2 linked regions of the Macaca mulatta genome follow. The protein of the gene in region 2 binds, or shares a complex with, the protein of the main gene of each other region. Links are inferred from orthologs where the notes say so. Each region holds a gene or a part of one and is shown on either strand. Other genes may lie near its edges.

Region 1 (10,468 bases), on a different chromosome or scaffold from region 2:
CGGGAGGAGGTGGTTGCAGTGAGCCGAGACTGCACCACCACACTCCATCCAGCCTGGGTGTCTGTCACTCTGAGCGAGACTCCTCAAAGAAAAAACAAAAACAAAAACACTGCAGACCAGGCACGGAGGCTTACGCCTGTAATCCCGGCACTTTGGGAGGCCAAGGTGGGTGGATCACAAGGTCAGGATTTCAAGACCAGCCTGGCCAAGATGGGGAAATCTTGTCTCTACTAAAAAATAAAAATAAAAAAATTAGCTGAGCATGGTGGCACACGACTGTAATCCCAGCTATTTGGGAGGCTGAGGCAGAGAATTTCTTAAACCCAGGAGGCAGAGGTTGCAGTGGGCTGAGATTGCATCACTGCCCTCCAGCCTGAGTGACAGAGCGAGACTCCATCTCAAAAAAAAATGGAAACAAAGATCTCATTCTAACAGGCTGGGCATCTATATTTTGCCAACACCCCCAGGTGATTCTGAATTAAGGCCAGGCTAAGAACCACTGACTTGATGAGACGATATCCAGGCAATGCCTTTAGAAATGGCATTTACTGGCCAGGTGCGGTGGCTCATGCCTGTAATCCCAGCACTTTGGGAGGCCGAGGCGGGCAAGTCACTGGAGGTCAGAAGTTCGAGACCAGCCGGGCCAACATGGTGAAACCCTGTCTCTACTGAAAATACAAAAATTCGGCCAGGCACAGTGTTTCATGCCTGTAATCCTAGCACTTTGGGAAGCAAAAGCTGGTGGATTACTTGAGGTAAGTAGTTTGAGACCAGCCTTACTAAAATGGTGAAACCCTGTCTCTACTAAAAATAAAAAAACTAGCCGGGTGTGGTAGCACACGCCTGTAATCCCAGCTACTCAGGAGGCTAAGGCAGGAGAATTGGTAAACCCAGGAGGCGGAGGTTGGTGAGCTGAGATCCCGCCACTGCACTCCAGCCTGGGTGACACAGTGAGACTGTCTCAAAAAATAAAATAAAGTAAAATAAATACAAATACAAAAATGAGCTGAGTATGGTTGCGCATGCCTGTCATCCCAGCTATTTGGGAGGCTGAGGCAGAAGAATCACTTGAACCCAGAAGGCGGAGGTTGCAGTGAGCTGAGATCACACCACCACACTCCAGCCTGGGCAACAGAGCAAGACTCCATCTCAAAAAAAAAAAAGAAGACAGAAAATGGCATTTACTAAATGAATTTTTCTTATAGTATATGGGAAAACATATACAAATACTAGTCATCAGCAAATACAAAGAACATCATAGAATAATTTCAATCAACAGTGATTAGATACTTATTCTGTACCAGGCACTGTGCTAGAAATATTCAGACAAACAAGACACAGCATCCGTCCTTAAGATCCCTTTGGTATACAAGAGAGTTGTAAGCAAGTAATTTCAACAGTGGGATTAATGCAATAAAATGGACAGGCTACATTTAATGAATGTGCACATTAATCACCTAGAGATCTTCTTATAATACAGATTCAGACACAGTAAGTCTGAAGTAAGACTGAGATTCTGCATTTCTACAAAGCTCCCAACCTGCCTAAACTAAGATGGTATCAGCAAGAGTGGGAAAGATGGGGTTGGGCGCAGTGGCTCACGCCTGTAATCCCAGCACTTTGGAAGGCCAAGATCCACTTTCAGGCGGATCACCTGAGGTCGGGAGTTCGAGACCAGCCTTCCCAACATAGAGAAACCCCACCTCTACTAAAAATACAAAATTAGCCAGGCGTGGTGGCACATGCCTATAATCCCAGTTACTTGGGAGCCTGAAGCAGGAGAATCGCTTGAACCCGGGAGGTGGAGGTTGCAGTGAGCCGAGATCGTGCCATTGCACTCCAGCCTGGGCAGCAGGAACTCCTACTCAAAAAAAAAAAAAAAAAAAAAAAAGAAGAGTGGGAAAGATGGGATGGACACCAGAGATGTTGAGGCAGAACTCAGATGACTTGGTGACAGATAGAGAATGATAAGAAGGAATCTAGGACTCCTAGGCTTCAGGTCTGGGTGACAGGCAGATAGTGTGCCATTATCTAACCAAGACAGACATGTCTCTAAAAAATGGATCAGTACAGTTTTGGACATGCTGAATTTAAGGTTCAATAAGGAACTTCAGTAAAAGTTTCTGTGGTCATTACGGAAACAAGCCTGACTACAGTGGGTCAAATATGAATGGCAAATTAAAAAGTAGACATAGATAACAAAGGTTACCTTCTGAAGCCTGACAATCAAAGGAAAGAACTAATACCTGCTAAAAGATCACAGGTTTTTTCGTTTGTTTGTTAAGGTTTTATAGAAAAGACCTGTCCATATGCACACGCTGAAGGGATAGGACTGGTTGATGAACACAGGGTAAAATTATAAGAGTGACACAAGTTCACTGAGGTGGCAGATAGAACCTGGGGTATAAGGTCTGCCTTAGAATGATCCTCTGCTGAATGAGGTTAAAAATGACTACATGTAAATTTGGGGATTGTGGGATAGACTATTCAACAGACTGAATTCAATGCCACTAAATTCATGCTAGGCCTCTATTTTTTTCTGCTTGGGAAAAGGAAAGGGCAAAAAGGACAGGTTGGGTAGATGTCTCAAAGAGAATCTGAAAGAACAGCTGAGGGGAGTAGCAGAGGAGCTGACCTTCCCATGGAAGGATTGCTGGTGGGGCTGAATACTCAGCCAGGGTGGCAGACCACACACATAGGTTGGCACCAACCTACTCGGTTGTATGACTTCCTCCAACTGGGTCCACACAACCTGCCTGCAGGAGTGAAAAGGCAGACAAAGCTAGGCTAAACTTGAAGACTAGCAGTAGTTGTGGTGGGAAGACAGGAAGCTGTGGAGGCCTAAGGTAATAGGGACGGGAGAACATAAGATGATCAAAAAGCTGGAAATAACCCACACAGAATTTTCTTAACCTAATTTAGTAGCTATATGATAAAAATTTTTTTTTTTTTGAGACGGAGTCTCGCTCTGTCACCCAGGCTGGAGTGCAGTGGCGCAATCTCAGCTCACTGCAACCTCCGCCTCCTGGGTTCACGCCATTCTCCTGCCTCAGCCTCCCACGTAGCTGGGACTACAGGGGCCCGCCACTGCACCCAGCTAATTTTTTTGTGTTTTTAGTAGAGACGGGGTTTCACCGTGTTAGCCAGGATGGTCTCGATCTCGACCTCGTGATCCGTCCGTCTCGGCCTCCCAAAGTGCTGGGATTACAGGCGTGAGCCACTGTGTCCAGCCCAATAAAAATGTTTTATGTTGGCCGGGTTTTAAAAAATTATTTTAAGTGGTATGTTCATTGTAAAAGAAAAAAAACCTATAAATACATAGAAATATATATTTTTGAGACGCAGTGTCGCTTTTATTGCCTAGGCTGGAGTGAGATGGCGCGATCTCAGCTCACGGCAACCTCCGCCTCCTGGGTTCAAGCAATTCTCCTGCCTCAGCCTCCCGAGTAGCTGGGATTACAGGTGCCTGCCACCGCACCTGGCTAATTTTTTTTGTTGTACTTTCAGCAGAGACGGGGTTTCACCATGTGGGTCGGGCTGGTCTCAAACTCCTGACCTCAGGTGATCCACCCGTCTCAGCCTCCCAAAGTGCTGGGATTACAGGTGTGAGCTACTGTGCCAGGCCTAGAAATATTTTTTAAATACACCACTTGTCAACCAACCACCCAGAAATAACCATTATGTTATACTTCTTTTCACTTTATACTTCTCCCTATGTGTGTATTTATTAAAATTTGAAATGTGGTCAGGTACAGTGGCTCACATTTGTAATCCCAGAACTAAGGGAGGCCAAGGCAGGTGGATCATCTGAGGTCACGAGTTCAAGACCAGCCTTGCCAACATGTTGAAACCCCATCTCTACCTAAAATACAAAATTAGGCAGGCAGAGTGACACATGCCTGTAATCCCAGCCACATGGGAAGCTAAGGCAGGAGAACTGCTTGAACCCAGGAGGCGGAGGTTGCAGTGAGCCAAGATGGCACCATTGCACTCCAGCCTGGGCAACAAAACTCCATCTCAAAAAAAAAAAAAATTGAAATGATGGTGTTTACACCATGGTATATATTTTTTTACATGCCATGAAATTATTTGCTTGTAAAAGCAATTTAAAAGTCACTGTATGAAGCTGGGTGCGGTGGCTCAAGCCTGTAATCCCAGCACTTTGGGAGGCCGAGACGGGTGGATCACGAGGTCAGGAGATCGAGACCATCCTGGCTAACATGGTGAAACCCCGTCTCTACTAAAAAATACAAAAAAACTAGCTGGGCGAGGTGGCGGGCGCCTGTGGTCCCAGCTACTCCAGAGGCTGAGGCAGGAGAATGGCGTAAACCCGGGAAGCGGAGCTTGCAGTGAGCTGAGATCCGGCCACTGCACTCCAGCCTGGGCGACAGAGCAAGACTCTGTCCCAAAAAAAAAAGTCACTGTATGTTCACTAGAAACAGAATGAAAGGGAAAAAAAAGTCACTCTGTGAAAATCTATATAAAATGTTAGGTCTCAATATGTTTTCAAGACAAACTATATCAGTAGGAACTTTGTCTTTTACCTAATTTGTAAAATAGGTAGTATATTGTAGGTTCTTAAGTCCTCTTAAACAGTTTACAATAGACTATTTATCACATTCTGTATCTTTAAAATTCTATATATAATAGACATTATATTGTAAAAAGTATACCATTGATAATTATGTCAGTGAGTTTCAATACTTACCTGTTCTTCTAACTGCATTTTACTTACTGTCCTCTGTTCTATGAGTTTATCAAGTTTCTTTAAAGATTTAAGGTCATTTCCAACTTCCTTTTCTATGAATGCAGACACATAAGAAGGGAGATCACCATTATCTGTACCTTCACTGACTTGTTTACTTCCAATAAGAACTGTAACATTTATGTCACCTAAAACAAAAGAATAACAATTACTCAACGCCACTATGTACTATGGAGTTAAAGAAAATGTAAAACATGTAAAAGCAGTGTATCTACCTTCAAAAGTTAATAATTTTGCCAGGCATGGTGGCTCACACCTGTGATCCCAGCACTTTGGGAGGCTGAGGCAGGTGCATCACCTGAGGCCAGGAGTTCGAGACTAGCCTGGCAAACGTGGCAAAACTCTGTCTCTACTAAAAATACAAAAATTAGCCAGGCATGGGGGCACAGGCCTGTAGTCCCAGCTATTCGGGAGGCTGAGGCACGAGAATCCCTTGAACCCAAGAGGCAGAGGTTGCAGTGAGCCAAGATCATGCCACTGCACTCCAGCCTGAGAGACAGAGACTCTGTATCAAAAAACAAAACCAAAACAAAACAAAGTTAATAATTTAAAGAACAACACATACATACAAATGCCCAGATGAATAGCTCTAAAGCACTCTATCAACCAACTACTGTAAAATGCTTAAGAGCTGAGGGAAGTATTAAAGGAAAAATTCCTAAAGTGCGACCCAGTAATCACAGGTTTCAATAGACAAGGCGTAATACCTTTTTGAAATGTGTAAGGAACCAGTAGTATGGTCTAGAGCAACATCAAAAGGAAGACTCTTGTTTTAAAATGTTTTTTAAAAGGCCAGGCGCAGTGGCTCACACCTGTAATCCCAGCACTGTGGGAAGCCAAGGCAGGAGGATCACTTGAGCCCAGGAGTTCTAGACCAGCCTGGGCAACAAAGCAAGACTTTATCTAACAAAATTAGCCAGGCATGGTGGCACGCACCTGTAGTCTCAGGTGGGCTGAGGTGGGAGGATTGCTTGAGCAGCCAGGGAGATCGAGGCTGCAGTGAGCCATGATTGCACCACTACACTCCAGCCTGGACTGCAGAGTGAGACTTCATCTCTTTAAAAAAAAAAAAAAAAAGTAGGCCGGGCGCGGTGGCTCAAGCCTGTAATCCCAGCACTTTGGGAGGCCGAGGCGGGTGGATTACGAGGTCAGGAGATCGAGACTATCCTGGCTAACATGGTGAAACCCCGTCTCTACTAAAAATACAAAAAACTAGCCGGGCGTGGTGGCGGGCGCCTGTAGTCTCAGCTACTTGGGAGGCTGAGGCGGGAGAATGGCGTGAACCCGGGAGGCGGAGCTTGCAGTGAGCCGAGATCACGCCACTGCACTCCAGCCTGGGAGACACAGCGAGACTCCGTCTCAAAAAAAAAAAAAAAAAAAAAAAAAAAAAAGTAAAAAGGTTTTAGCTGGGCACGGTGGCTCATGCCTGTAATCCCAGCACTTTGGGAGGTTGAGGCAGGCAGATCACGAAGTCAGAAGTTCAAGACCAGCCTGGCCAATATGGTGAAAACCCGTCTCTACTAAAAATACAAAATTAGCTGGGCATGGTGGTGCACACCTGTAGTCCCAGCTACTCGGGAGGCTGGGGCAGAAGAATCGCTTGAACACGGGAGGCGGAGGTTGCAATGAGCCGAGATCACGCCTGGGCGACAAAGTGAGGCTCTGCCTCAAAAAAAAAAAAAAAAAATTGTTTTTAAGCTTCAAAGGTCATTGTACGAAGATATCTTTGTCAGAAACAGAAAAAAGAAAATATGACAGAACAAATTACTAGGAAAAAATCAAAATGAATGACTAATGCAACCACTAAATAGTATGAAGTGAGATTCTTTCCATGGCAAATAAACTACCTGTTTTGTGACATTTAATAAGTCCAGTACATATTGGACTTACTAATATTAATATCTAAATAATGATATGCCTAAGTGCAAAATGTAAATGTAAGATATTGTTCAACTATTTATGTAAAGATTAACAGTATACTGTTTCACGTGTCCATGTGAAGAGACCACCAAACAGGCTTTGTGCGAGCAACATGGCTGTTTATTTCACCTGCGTGCAGGCGGGCTGAGTCCGAAAAGAGAGTCAGAAAAGGGTGGTGGGATTATCATTGGTTCTTATAGGTTTTGGGATAGGTGGTGGAGTTAAGAGCAATGTTTTGGGGGCAGGGGGTGGATCTCACAAAGTCATTCTCAAAGGTGAGGAGAATTACAAAGAAACTCTTAAGGGTGGGGGACATTATAAAGAACACTGATCAGTTAGGGTGGGGCAGAAACAAATCACAATGGTGGAATGTCATCAGTTAAGCTATTTTCACTTCTGTGGATCTTCAGTTGCTTCAGGCCATCTGGTCATAAGGGATATGATGGCTTAGCGTGGGCTCAGAGGCCTGACATATACCAATGTGTTCTATACAGAGTATGTTCCTCTCTCCACCCCTACACCCTAACAAACAAAATTTCCTTTGTTTAACTTATATGAATTGAATTAAAAGATTTTTCACATGCTGTGAGAATCAGGAGGTGGTACTGACCTTTTCCCCCTTTCCTGTCCAGTCCAAGATCCAGAACCCAAGCTATCTGTTGTGCTCTTCCCAGAGCAATTTTAAATTGTCAATTCTAAATTGGGTAGGAGAGGCAATATTAACATAACACTATGCCTCAATTTTCCAACTAGAAAACAAATGGTAACATTTGCCCCAGCCTACATCTCAAGGTTATAAATGGGACTACATAATACAAATTATATAGTTTGTATTAATTATATTAATATAAATATTATTATCTATTAATTATATCATACATTGATATATAATGGTAATGTATAATAATCTACTATTATGTACAGAACTCACAATGCCTTTTTTTAATCTTAAATAAAACAAGTGAGTTATGTGGTTATCTGCAGACAAATGGAGGCAGGAAATATTTGTGAATGCTACAGTTGCTGTACCTTAGGGAGGAAACTCTACCTTCACTTTTTAAAAAAATTACACCCGCCGGGCGCAGTGGCTCATGCCCATAATCCCAGAACTTTGGAAGGCCGAGGAGGGTGGATTACCTGAGGTCAGGAGTTGGAGACCAGCCTAACCAACGTGGTGAAACCCTGCCTCTACTAAAAATACAAAAATTAGCCAGTGTGGAGGCAGGCACCTGTAATCCCAGCTACTAAGGAGGCTGAGGCAGGGGAATTACTGGAACCCAGAGGTGGAGCTTGCAGCGAGCCAAGATCGTGCCGCTGCACTCCAGCCTGGGAGACAGAGTGAGACTAGGTCTCAAAAAAAAAAAAAAAAATTACACCCTTGATGTGTAACCATTCAAATGTGGCACAGTACATTCTTAGCAAAATGACATTCTTCAAAATGACACACCAGTGGTTTGGGAGGTTTTTATGTGTCTCTTTTTCTATTTTTTGTAAAGAGCACTCCTAATCGCAAAGCAGTTTGACTGAGCCGTGGAAAGAGGAACAAGGACAAAGTCCTTGATATGATAGTCTACATCTATTATTTTATTAAAATGACAGCTCAGTAGGCATCCGACTACTTTCCAGGCATCTGAATGAAGCGAAAGTGGAAAGGGAAGGGTTTAACTGAGAGATACAAGGCACTCTCAAATCCTTCAAGAAAAAGGAGCTGAGATGTGGCAGTTACGACAGTCATGTGCTATGGACCGCTTAGAGTCTTCTTTCTGAGGCAGACTCTACTAGCCGCCAATGTTAAGGGCAAATCTTACTCCTAAGGGCCATGTGGTAAGGTGGGCACCATTTTTCTTACTAATACTCATTCCCAACTATTTGCCACAGTCAAAAGAACCAAACATTCCAATAGCAGAGCTATCACATGCTTTTCCCCTTCCTCTCCCAAAAAATGTTACTTCAAAGGTACCTAAAGAGGCCTTGATTGGCAATAACCTGCCATTAAAGTAAAATGGCAAAAGTCCACATCCCTGACATATACTCCTGTACTAGGGAGGAAATGGTGGTACTGACCTTTTCCCCCTTTCCTGTCCAGTCCAAGATCCAGAACCCAAGTTATCCGTTGTGCTCTTCCCGGAGCAATTTTAAACTGCCAATTTACTGAAGGTGAAATTTACTGAAGGTGAACTAAACAATTATCATTTGCCTCCTTTGAACCCAATTAAGGTGGTGGTCATCTGTCCTAGATCATGGGCCCCTCCAAATTCCTGATGCTTAATAAGTTGATGTTTCATTAAAATGACAGGCAGGCCCCAATTATTCTGAGTCCCGTATAATAGGCAGACTTCCAGCGAAAACTCCAGTCCCTGTACTAGGTATGGATCGGGAAGTGCTCTTCTCCCGAGCATCCCGTATTTTACAATTTTAGAAAGACAAAAATATGTGTATCATGGTCATCAGTATTACCATATAAGCATATTGCGCACAAAACGATACTGCATCTAAAAGATAGGCAAAGAACCTTTCTCTGTTGCAGACCCTAGAAGGCTGGGTTTGGGAGGGATAGCTGGGAAGAAAGAGCTTAGGTGTTTGCAGCTGGCTTACTTTTCTCCTCGAGGTTCTTCCTTTCGTCACCACTTTCAGAGCAGCACTAAAAGGAGAACAGGTGTGACAAGCACATTAAGATTAAAGTCGTGGATGGAAAGCATACGGGGCTCCCAGTGGGCACCAACTGGAGGCCAGAGAGGTTCCAGACGCTCTCCCCCCTTCTGAGTGGCCAGGGCCGTCTCAATCAGGTACCCCAAAGTGCCACTTCCCTGGTGCCACCACTGCCACCTTCCCAGGAGGTCTGTGCCACCTTCCCAGGAGGTCTGTGTCACCTCCGCAGGACCTGGAGTTACCCTGCCTGCCCACTAGGGCCACCTCCCTAGAGAAATCTGTCATCTCACCAGGACCGCCAAAGCCACCTCACTGGGACTACCGCCTCCTCTAGGAGGTCTTGCAAGGGCCTCTAATCTAAGCTGCGGGAAGCACCTTCACAAGATTACAGGGTCACCTCACCGGGACTATCTTCCCCGGGAGGTCTGTGCCACCTCAGTAGGCCACCAATGTCCCCTCCCAGGGACGCCAGGGCCGTCTCACCGGGGCTGCAGGAGAGGCGCCGATCTCGCCAGCTGGCAGCATCTCGCCTCCACGCGAGTCCTGGGCTCCATTCGCAGCCAGCGTGGCCTGTGGAGCCTGCCTAAGGCCAGCGACACACTGACCTCCTCAGTCTCGGAGGCCGTAGGATTCAGCGCCACCGCGACTTCCTCTCGATGTCTCGCTGGTTTCTTCCTCTCAGCCCAGAGAGGCTCTGCCCGCGCAGCCGCCTGCCCTGCTCTTTTCCTCCGCCTCCTGGCCGGAGGTCGGAACGGCCGCTCAGGAAGCGGGCACCCGCCCCCAAGGCGCTCCAGAGATGGAACTTTAAGATATCCCTCTCCCAACGCCTTAAATTCATTATGAATCATTTAAATTTCTATTTTAGACAATATCCAGATGTTCTGAGAGTGTGGGGGCTTGTTGACTAGGAGCTTTGGTGCAGGGTTATTTGGTTCGAATATTTAGTTGGGGGTTTCCAATGAATATCAGTATCTTCAGATATTTCTTTAAAGGTTGGTCAGAGTCCCTGGAGATGAGCTTCTAATTTCCTGCCTGGAGGGTGTAGAGGTGGTTATAAGCGTCTGGGAGCTAAATGAAGAGAAAAGAGCATCTAACATGTGTTTTGCCCAAAACCCTGTCTTTTCCTAGGGATGA
Region 2 (10,468 bases):
TTTTTAAAATGATTTTTTGAAACTTAGTCATCTTTTCCTATGATTAAGTAAGCCAGGACGCTCCATTTCTTCCCTCAGTATATAAATAGCCTTTTATGGTAATTTTTGTTTCTGATTAAGTTTAAAGACTGTGTCTTCTGTTCTCAAGGTCTGCTCTGAGTGATTTACCATAGTAGTGGAGAACAGGAAGTTCTTCCAGGCTGTGGAAAGAAATAGCTCTGAGATGTGAGCCATTGAAAAATTGATAGTAAACATGTATGTGTATTTTGTTGTATTAGATGAAAAAGCAGTTTTTTGACTTATGTATAACAACACTTTTTTTAGATTTCAGATTTCAAATAAGTACCCCAACTATTTTTTTTACTCTTTGCCCATACTATTATAATTCCGGAGACTAAAAAGGGAACACTAAGCCAAGAGGGTGTCAGGTAATGGCTTATTCTCAAATTGATATTTGAGAGATATTGATGTGCTGTTATATTCTCAAAGATGAGCATGACACCATATTGCCCTAAGATTACAGTATGAATGCATGCATGGTTATATTTTTTTAACCTGGTAAATTCTTAGTCATAAAAAGGACTAGGACGTAACATGAAGGTTTCCTAGTCAAGTCTCAAAGCTTTGAAAATCACAGCCTGGAGAGGTTGCTCAGTTTATAAGTGGCTCGGATAAGACCTGTATCCAGGCCAGTGTTTATTCATCACGTGTGTGTATGTGTATAGAACGAATTCTTAGTGTATTTTGCTTTCATATGTATTGGTGGTATACTTGGTATCCTATTGTTCATATGCGTATGCTATATTCTTCATAAATTGAGTCATAATATGTACATGTGCACATTTTAAGTGTAAGAACAATCGCTTTTCCAGACTATCATGGCAAGAAATAGATTTCAGCTAGTTGTAATTGAGAGATCAAGGGAAAGCATCATCTCTTTATTTGAAAAAGTCCACAGTTCTTGATGATTTTCATATAATTTTCTTACATAGTTGACTCAGGAAGTCATTATTTTCATATTTAGCCAGGCTATGATGACCTTAATCCTGATTGGAGGCTCTCTACTGAGAAGAGAAAAAAAGTCAAAGGTGAGTTGTATGAAATATGATAATTGAAACCTTAAGAGACTTCTATTATTATACAAGATGCTCTTTGGATGATATAAAAAATCTCCAGATACTTTTGCTACACTTTGGAAGAAACATCAAGATTTCATAGATTTGGTCAAGGCAACAGATCCAGTTTTCTGATGGTCAGGCTTTCCCAAAAGCGAGGTCAGAGCCCAGGGTATGCAGCATGGCTCTCCTGCCAGGAGCCAGCATTGAGATGGTACACTGAGTTCAACGCTTAGAAGCCTGCTCCTTTTCAGATGCTCCTGGGTGAGATCACAGAGCAAGATTCATCAAAGAAGAAACACTGAGTAAACTTACCTCTGCCGGTTGGGGGTAATTAGGGTTAGGTTGGTGAGGCTTTCTTTGTCTTTGCATACATTTCCATGTTTTAAAGAAAAAATTTCATTTTTACAGTGAGCATATATTGTTTTTATAAATAAAAATCAAGATTTACATTTAAATAAGAGTAATAATTGTCATTTAATTGCTAGATTAAAGCAGAGATATTTTAAAATCCTGTAGGGGTTACTTTTGAGTTTTTTTTTTACTTTTAGTTCTTGACTATGTGTTATTTCTCTTTAGGTGAAACTTTCTAAGTTAAATCCGTGATGAATTTTTAAGTGTCTTCTGTAAAATCAGTGATAGTTACAAGGTTCAAGGTCTGTATTACGATATATTTTTAGGCTGGCACGGTGGCTCATGCCTGCATTTTGGGAGGCCAAAGCAGGTGGATCACCCAAGTTCAAGAGTTCAAGACCAGTCGGGCCAACATGGTGAAACCCTGTCTCTACTGGAAATACAAAAATTAGCCAGGCATGGTGGTGCACACCTGTAATCAGATACTCGGGAGGCTGAGGCAGGATAATCGCTTTAACCTGGGAAGCGGAGGTTGCAGTGAGCTGAGATCACGCCACTGCACTCCAGCCTGGGTGACAGAGCAAAAGTTCATCTCAAAAAAAAAAAAAAATGCTTTTAGTTCACATTTAAAGAAGATTAAAAATATTGATTAATATTATGCATCAGGTTCCATGCTTTGAATTATCTGCTTTAGTTAAATAATCATCCAAAATATTCATCCAGACATATTTTTGAGGAAAAGTAATACTTTGTCAAAGCAGAAATTAGAATTTTATTTTAGTGATTTGCTCCTCTTTCTTTCTACTTCACACTTAGTGATAAGCCCCAGGAACTCTGCCTTTCACATTTTCTTGAAACTCCTTATTTACATGGATTGCCTTAGGCTTACTTGGGAAAAAAGTGTTGTTAGAGCTCTTTATTTTCCTTAAAATAGTGAGTCTCATGGTTCTGAATTCCATATTTAAAATCTCTTCTAGTGTAATGTTTAAATATGTTGTTAAATTTATGGTTTACTTTTACCTTTAAACCATATCATATGTTTTGTATAACAGATGATGTTCAAAAATGTACAATAAAATTATAATAAATATGGCATTGCCTTTTGAATGCCTTAGTTTGGTGAACAATAATTCCTTTTCTTTTTCTTTTTCTTTTTCTTTTTTTTTTGACAGAGTCTCGCTCTGTCACCCAGGCTGGAGTGCAGTGGCACCATCTCGGCTCACTGCAACCTCCACCTCCTGGGTTCAAGTGATTCTCCCGTCTCAGCCTCCCCAGTAGTTGGAACTACAAGCATGCGCCACCATTCCTGGCTAATTTTTGTATTTTTAATACAGATGGGGTTTCACCGTATTGGCCAGGCTTGTCTTAAACTCCTGACCTTGTGATCTGCCCACCTCAGCCTCCCAAAGTGCTGGAATTACAGGCATGAACCACTGCGTCCAGCCCATAATTCATTTTCATTTCTAAAGATTCTTTGCTAGCCATAGATTTTTTTTTCCCTCTCTGATTAGTTATAAGTTTAAGAGGAAATCAGCACTGGAAACTATTACATATCTGTCTTATATTTTTCTAAAGGGTATATTTCTCTCAGTGTTTGTCTGAAAGTGGTATATGTACATTTTTCAAAACATTATATTACCTTCATGTATGCATACCTGGTACACACCTGCCTTTCAACTTAGGTTGAAAGTGGTGACACATCTCTCTCCTGAGTATATTCTTGAGATGAAAGACCCTAGTTTATTTGCCTTTGTATCCTTAGAGCTTTAGACTGCCTTTGTATCCTTAGAGCTTTAGACCTAGACTGACATTGTTGGCACCCAATTTGTCAAGTGAATTACCATTTTATACCTCATAAACTTTTGAGGATGACTTACATTTTAATTTTTCTTATTTTTTTCTCATTATTTAATATACCATTAAGGGGCCAAATAACATAGGTAAATTTGGTTTTAAAATTGATTCTTATACTAAATATTTTGAATTTAAACCACATTAGCAGATGCATTTGTATTGATTTGTTTTTCCCTTCTTAGATAAAGAGTCCTTTTACCCACTGATAGATGTCAATTGGTGGGCAGACAGTGCAGTGACTTTAGCTCGATGCTCCGGTGCCTTAACTGTTTCGTCGGTGAAAACTTTGAAGAATTTACTGGGAAAATCCTGTGAGTGGTTTGAACCATCACCTCAAGTCACTGCTACCCATGATGGGGGATTTTTAAGTTTGGAGGTAAGGCTTTTTCCCCTTTGTTTGAGAATAGTTATATATTTAACCAAAAATTTAAATATCTGGTTTTTATTTGAGTTGTCTTATTATCTTGTCTTTAAAAACAAAAATCTGTGACTGGAATCAGGTAATGGTTGCAGTATAAAAAATTCGTTTTTTAGTGAATAAAAAATTGTAATTTAAGATAATGAAGAAAATTTGTTGTCATTTTGCTTTGTATAAAGTATTTCTTTTTCACTGAAATGGTAGATTTTTTTCTCCCCTGGATTAGTCATTTTAAAATGTAGAATGGTATCACTACCTAAGAAAAATACTCTTTAACCTATTTCTAAAAAGCATGGCAACTAAAGTTTTTGATTCTTTTAGTAAGGAAACTTGTTTATCATGACAAAAGACTTGAAAATAGAGGCTAGTTCTTTAAAGTTATCTTTTGGTCATTTAAAAATTGTATTTTAAGTCTTTCAAGGGTAACAACCTTTCATAGCTTTCACTTCAGCAATGCAGATTGACATGTTTTTTACTCTGAAGTTTGTTATGGAGTCTAAAGATGTTCCTTAAAGAAAACTATGACTTAAAATCTAAGCCAGCTCTGTTAAGTCTGAATGAAAGTTATCTTGAACAGCCAGGCTTTCAGACTCAGAACTTAGCGAAGCTGTTAGACATTTTTATAAAGGGGTGAGGGAGAGCTGTTCTTGGTAAAGCAAATTTAAGTACCTTTATGTTCATTCTCTGAAGAGATGAAAACAGATCATCAAATTATCAGGTACAAGACCTGATAATTATAAGTACAAGAGCATATTAATGACCTGTTATTAAAACAGGCTTTAGACTGGGCACAGTGGCTCACACCTCTAATCCTACCACTTTGGGAGGCCAAGGCGGGTGGATCACTTAAGGTCAGGAATTCGTGACCAGCCTGGCCAACATGGTGAAACCCCATCTCTAGTAAATATACAAAAATTGGCTGGGCGTGGTGGTGGGTGTCTGTAGTCCCAGCTACTCAGGAGGCTGAGGCAGGAGAATCGTTTGAACCTAGGAGGTGGAGGTTGCGGTTGGCTGAGATCGCGCCACTGCATTCCAGCCTGGGTGACAAAACAAGGCTCCATCTCAAACAAAACAAAACAAAACAAAAAAACAGGCTTTAGTTTAGAAGATTTGGAGCTGATCATGTATGTGCATATTTCTGGAGCTGATGTATATAATGCTTGCTGTAAAGTTCCTTTGAGTTCCATTGTTAATCTTGATCACATAACTGATTTAATGAATCAAACCAGATTAGATTTAGAAATTTTTTTTTCATTAATTCTAAAAAGTTATTCTTAGTTCCTAACTATTAATTTCAAATCTCCTTTTTCAATTTAGTGTGAGATTAAACTTGCCTCCAAACGATCTCGTTTGGAGACTAGGGCTGGAGAAGAAGATGAAGGAGAAGAGGATTCTGATTCTGATCATGAAATATCTGCCAAGGCTCGCTACTTTGGTTATATAAAACAGGGCCTTTACTTGGTGACTGAAATGGAGCGATTTGCACCAGCACGGAAACGCCCACGAACCATTACTAAAAACTACCGCCTTGTGAGTTTGCGCTCCACAACACCGGAGGAACTTTATCAGAGGAAGGTGAGACAGTAGCGTACTACTACCCAAGTTTGAAGTCATCAAGCTTTTCTTTTATTGGGAAAAAGTTAATTTTTTAATAAAGGAGAAAATTTCAAGAGGGATGTTGGATCATTGACATGTTAAAAATAGCAGTTCTCTAAAGCTTTTTAAAATAATGCTAATCTTTGTACCTAAATAATCAAAATCAAAACCATGGATAAAGTTGAATTCACTTAGACTGATTATCCACTTGGTGGCTTAACTCATTTCTTTGCTACCCTTCATGTGGCCTTCAGCTCTCCCTTTATCTGTGTTTAAATCAGCTATCTACAGAGGGTGAAGGAAGAAATGCTAGTCCAGGACTTGCTTGGGAAGCCAAGGTGACCAGCACTGTGTGTTTACATGATTTGTGCTGTTCTTGCAATGTCATGGTAGGAGCTCTGGACTAGAAGTTGGGTTGTTCCATGGTTGTCTTGGTTTTGCCATTGTTTTACTCTAAAATGAGAGTTTTGCACCTTTTATCTTTCATCTTTCTGTTAAAGTCCTGAAAGAAACACGAGATCCTTCTGCTCCTCAATATGTCTGTGAGCTTCTGGTGCCACAGTGCACAGGAATTAATGACATGCTGGATAGGTCCAAGGGATTATCATCATTCATTGTATCATCATCAGGACCCTGTAGATAATTCAGTCATGTAACATTCCTGTCTTTGTGTTTTTATCTGAAGATTGAAAGTGAAGAGTATGAGGAAGCCTTGTCCTTGGCTCATACCTATGGCCTGGATACTGACCTCGTATATCAGAGGCAGTGGAGGAAGTCAGTGGTCAATGTTGCTTCAATTCAGAATTATTTGGTATGTGTAAATATTTTGGTAATGTAAAATGTATATTCATATAGTGTCTTTTGTTTATAGGGCTTCATTTTAGAGAACTTTACATTGCTGACTTTTCTATAATACAGTCAATGAAGTACAGTTTTCTCATCTGGAAAAATGGTCTTTTTGTTAGATTTTATTGCCCCTGCAACTGGACTTTGATGCTGAATACATGTGAACAAATATTCACTGATAAACCAGCTGACTACTTGGTTTCGGCCTAATGTTTTCTTTCCTGTACCACAATCACTTCACTTTACCTGCATTAGTCAAGAGCTAGTCAGGTGCCAGAAACCACACAGTAATTTAAACCGGGAAATTTACAATGTGGAGAATTATTTTCTAGTAACCAGAAATGAACGATAGAGAACGCTAAGGAATACCCTAGGGCTGAAGGGACGTATCCATGGAGGGAATGAACTTGGAAGGGAGGCCCTTCCCCTAGGCTGGGATTCAGACCCGTTGGACCAGGAGTGGTTGCAGCATGTAGGATGGAAGAGAAGTTCTCTGGGTTGCCTTGAGCCAGGGCTGGTCCACAGTTGCCAAGGTTGGCAGTCGGGGAGATATGGGATGGATAGGAAAGCTGGACGCCTGCTTCTGGGGGCCAGTGAGCTGAGGATGGGGGCCAGAAGACCCCAGGGACTATCCAGCAGGAAACCCCTACCAGCATGCATGTGGCTCAAGGCTGGTAGATAATTAAGGAATCATGGCCAAGACTGGCAAGAAAAAACTGTCTACTCCTATAGGCGGCCTTTTTGTAGCTTCCAGTCTGGGAAGCTTCTCTCTTTGGTGCGTGGGAGATTCACTAGAAAACAGTCTGCCCACGAGAGTGCCAGTGAAACTCAGTGGGAGGGTGTCAACAGAGGGAGGAAGTGGGGAAGTAAGTGCCACTTGATGTCCCACACATGCCTTGTTGGTGGCCAAGCCATAGGAGCAAGAAGAAAAGAACCAAAGCACATCACGACTAGAAAGCAGAGCCTCTTCTTTTGCAGTGGCCCTCCAGCACCCAGAGCTTAATATTGTGTCAACTGCAAATGACATACGCTATCACAGAGCTGGCTTTGAGGGGAAATTTGGAGCTGAGAGGCAATAAATAGGTAACATATATGAAAACTGCCAAATACGCCTGTTTAAAACTTAAGTCTCAAAATTGGATACTTCCTGTTACCTGCCTCCCATAGTTAAGATTAATATACAGTCTTGTCTCAATTAGTTTTAGCCGCTGCAACAAAAATATCAGACTATGTGGTTTCAACAGCAGAAATTTATTTCTCACAGTTCTAGAGGCTGGGAATTGCAAAATCAAGGTGTTGACCAATTTCATTCCTGGTGAGAGCACTCTCCTGGGTTGCAGATGGATTTCTTTCTTGCTGTGTCCTTATATGGCAGAGAGCAGAGAGAGAGGCAGCAAGCTGTCTCCTGCCTCCTCTTGTGAGGACGCCAATCCTGTCATGGGGCCTCCACTCTCATGACCTGATTGCTTTCTGAAGGTCTCATTTCCAAACATCATCACTCTGGGAATTAGTTTTTCAACATGTGAATTTTGGGGGACACATTGATTTCATAGCAAGCCTGTATGTTTTAACCTTTGGCATCTTTGTAAGAAAGACTTATAGTTAGACTCATGACATACTTTAAAAAAGGTTGGGACTTCTGATCTTAACATGTAGAAAGGAAAATACCTTTGCACTGTGGAAGATTGTGGGAAACACTGGGAAAATTTCATGATGATTACTTCCCTAAAAGTTTTGTACATTAGTAATTAAAAGTAAAAATATAACATGAAAAAGTTGTATGGAAGAAGATGATGCATCAGCCAAACAGGATGATAAACTTAACATTAATACAAGCAAGATATCAGAGGTGAAAGAGCATGAGAGGTAATGAAACGGAAGAAGACAAAGTTACTTGTATTTTCTTTAGAAAATCAAAACACTAATTCTGTATTATTTTTCTTTGTTGTTTTGTAATCTAAGACAATGAGCTCATGAGTTCATGTATATCTTTTTCTGGGATACAGTAAAGGACAGTTTTTATCTCTGAAGGAGTTGAGGGATGTTAGGAGAGACAAAACAAGTACTTTTCTGGGGAGGGGAATATTTTGTTTAGTTAAATAAATAGCCAGTTAAGAGCAAGAGCACTATGCTGGGGACTGCAAAGGGGTACAGGACAGGCATAAATGTGACTTTTACTCATTGGGAGCTTATGATTTTTTTTTTTTTTTTTTTTTTTTTTGAGATGGAGTTTCACTCTTTTTGCCCAGGCTGGAGTGCAATGGTGCTATCTCGGCTCACTGCAACTTCTGCCTCCCTGGTTCAAGTGATTCTCCTGCTTCAGCCTCCCGAGTAGCTTGGGACTACAGGCACATGACACCACACCTGGCTAATTTTTGTATTTTTAGTAGAGATAGGGGTTCACCATATTGAATGTAACTGACCATATAAACAGATTTCAGATAAAACTCTAGAAACCCAGTGAAGGTAGTGATTATTATTATAGATCTGGTAGTGATGGAAGGCTTTATATAGTGAAGATGTTTGGAGCAGGGATTTGGAAGGATTTAAAGTAGACCTTCTTGAGTGAGAAGGAAGGAAGACATTCTTAACAGGACAGATGGTATGAACGAATGAAAAGACGTTGAGCATGATTTATGAGGCCCATGACTAAATCTGTTTTATTCACTGCTGTCTTTCCATGTCTACTTCAATGCCTGGTATGCAGTAGGTGCCCAGTAAACATTTTGTGGATAGATGAGCTCTGTACATCAACCAGTTTGCTGGCACTGATATTTGACAATAGTGAACATTGGGAAATATGATTAAAAAGATATATTGATTTGGGTTCAGGAGGATGTGGAAAGGTTGTGATGACTTAGGCATTTATCTACTGTTGTGGATTTCTGACTGTGGAAGCACAGAGGAAGATGGTGTAGAGAGGATTGGAGTGGAAGGAAGGTAGGAAAGCTTGCTCAGAGCAGGGGACTCCTGCAGTGTCCTGGATATTTTGTGTTGATGATTTAGACTGGTATGGAGGCTGCAGCTGTGGAAAAGGGAAAGTGAATTAATAAGAGACATTTGAAGAAAGAACTGATGTGAGGCAATATATAAAGGATCCTAGGGAATGAGTCAAATATTAATTGAAATTTGTTACCATAATAGCTCTTTGTAGGAGGAGGGCAAGTCAGGGATTTTGAATGGAGTTGGAGAAAGCAGTTGGGAGGGAGGAATAGGACCTTGATCTTTCCAAAAAACAGCATATCATGACTTTTTATGATTAAGTTATTTACACCCTGGGATATATCTCATGGTCAAATAAATACAGAACTTTGATGGGCTCATTTGTTAAAAGTTAAACATGCTTATTAATTATGGCAGAATATATCTTCTCTTTCTGCCTTATTGTCTGCTCTATTATACAGCCACAGTGCAAGCCAAAGGCGATTATACAAGTTAGGAGAAAATGTCTTATATTACCAAAAATGAGTCCTGAGCTTTCTGTCTCTGTGTAGCTCATTAGAGGAAGAAAGCAAGCAGGTAAACTCACACTCCCTGCATCCAGTTGTAATCACCATTAGGGAATTGGCTGCTTTTCTTTTGAGTTCCTCTAGCAGCTCCCTGTGGCCAAGGTCCTAAATAGCTGTAATTAGATATAGCTTTACAATTCTGAAGGCAGTTGTAATGTGTTGTGAGATGTCATGGATTCTTTAATTCCTCTGTTTCTTCTTCTATATCCAGAGTAAAATAAAGAAGCGATCCTGGGTTCTCCATGAGTGTTTGGAAAGAGTTCCTGAAAATGTGGATGCTGCCAAAGAACTGCTTCAGTATGGATTAAAAGGCACAGACCTGGAGGCTCTTTTAGCAATAGGGAAAGGAGCAGATGAAGGCAGGTTGGTTATAGAAGGAATTGGATTCAAAGTAAAAGTGACTTTGTGAGAACTTTTGTACTGAGACATTGGACTGGGTAAACTTTTCTTTAAGTTATTCTCTACTGAAGCAGTTGCTTTTGATCAATACTTTCTTATCTGAAGTCATTGCTCATCAGGCATTTGGAACTTTTTAAAAAATATAAATATGAGAATATATCTGAGAAGTAAATAATTAAAATGAGACTGACATGATTACCATTTGAAGACCTTAAGAAGAAGTGATTCACATAGCAAACTCTGGACATTTTCTGCATAGGCTGCTTTACATTGAATGAATGTAACCCCACATCTCTTCCTAAATAGTTTTCATTTTCTTGATTTTTAGATTTCTATTTGTGATAATTACTGATGACTTTTTGCCCATCTATGGATAT

Evidence for each region.
Region 1: NBAS (region 2) and RINT1 share a complex: the UniProt entries of both Homo sapiens proteins name them as parts of the NRZ complex. The link is inferred for Macaca mulatta from reciprocal best matches to the Homo sapiens genes NBAS and RINT1.

The regions. Positions count from the first base shown.
Region 1 is NC_133408.1:145,130,144-145,140,611, reverse strand, and holds the start of RINT1 (RAD50-interacting protein 1), read right to left. Parts: upstream 9,993-10,468; 5' UTR 9,860-9,992; coding exon 9,818-9,859; intron 9,327-9,817; coding exon 9,281-9,326; intron 4,894-9,280; coding exon 4,709-4,893; intron 1-4,708. UniProt on the Homo sapiens protein: Involved in regulation of membrane traffic between the Golgi and the endoplasmic reticulum (ER); the function is proposed to depend on its association in the NRZ complex which is believed to play a role in SNARE assembly at the ER.
Region 2 is NC_133418.1:109,477,152-109,487,619, forward strand, and holds part of NBAS (NBAS subunit of NRZ tethering complex), read left to right. Parts: intron 1-1,024; coding exon 1,025-1,088; intron 1,089-3,505; coding exon 3,506-3,699; intron 3,700-5,058; coding exon 5,059-5,316; intron 5,317-6,022; coding exon 6,023-6,148; intron 6,149-9,903; coding exon 9,904-10,055; intron 10,056-10,468. UniProt on the Homo sapiens protein: Involved in Golgi-to-endoplasmic reticulum (ER) retrograde transport; the function is proposed to depend on its association in the NRZ complex which is believed to play a role in SNARE assembly at the ER. Required for normal embryonic development.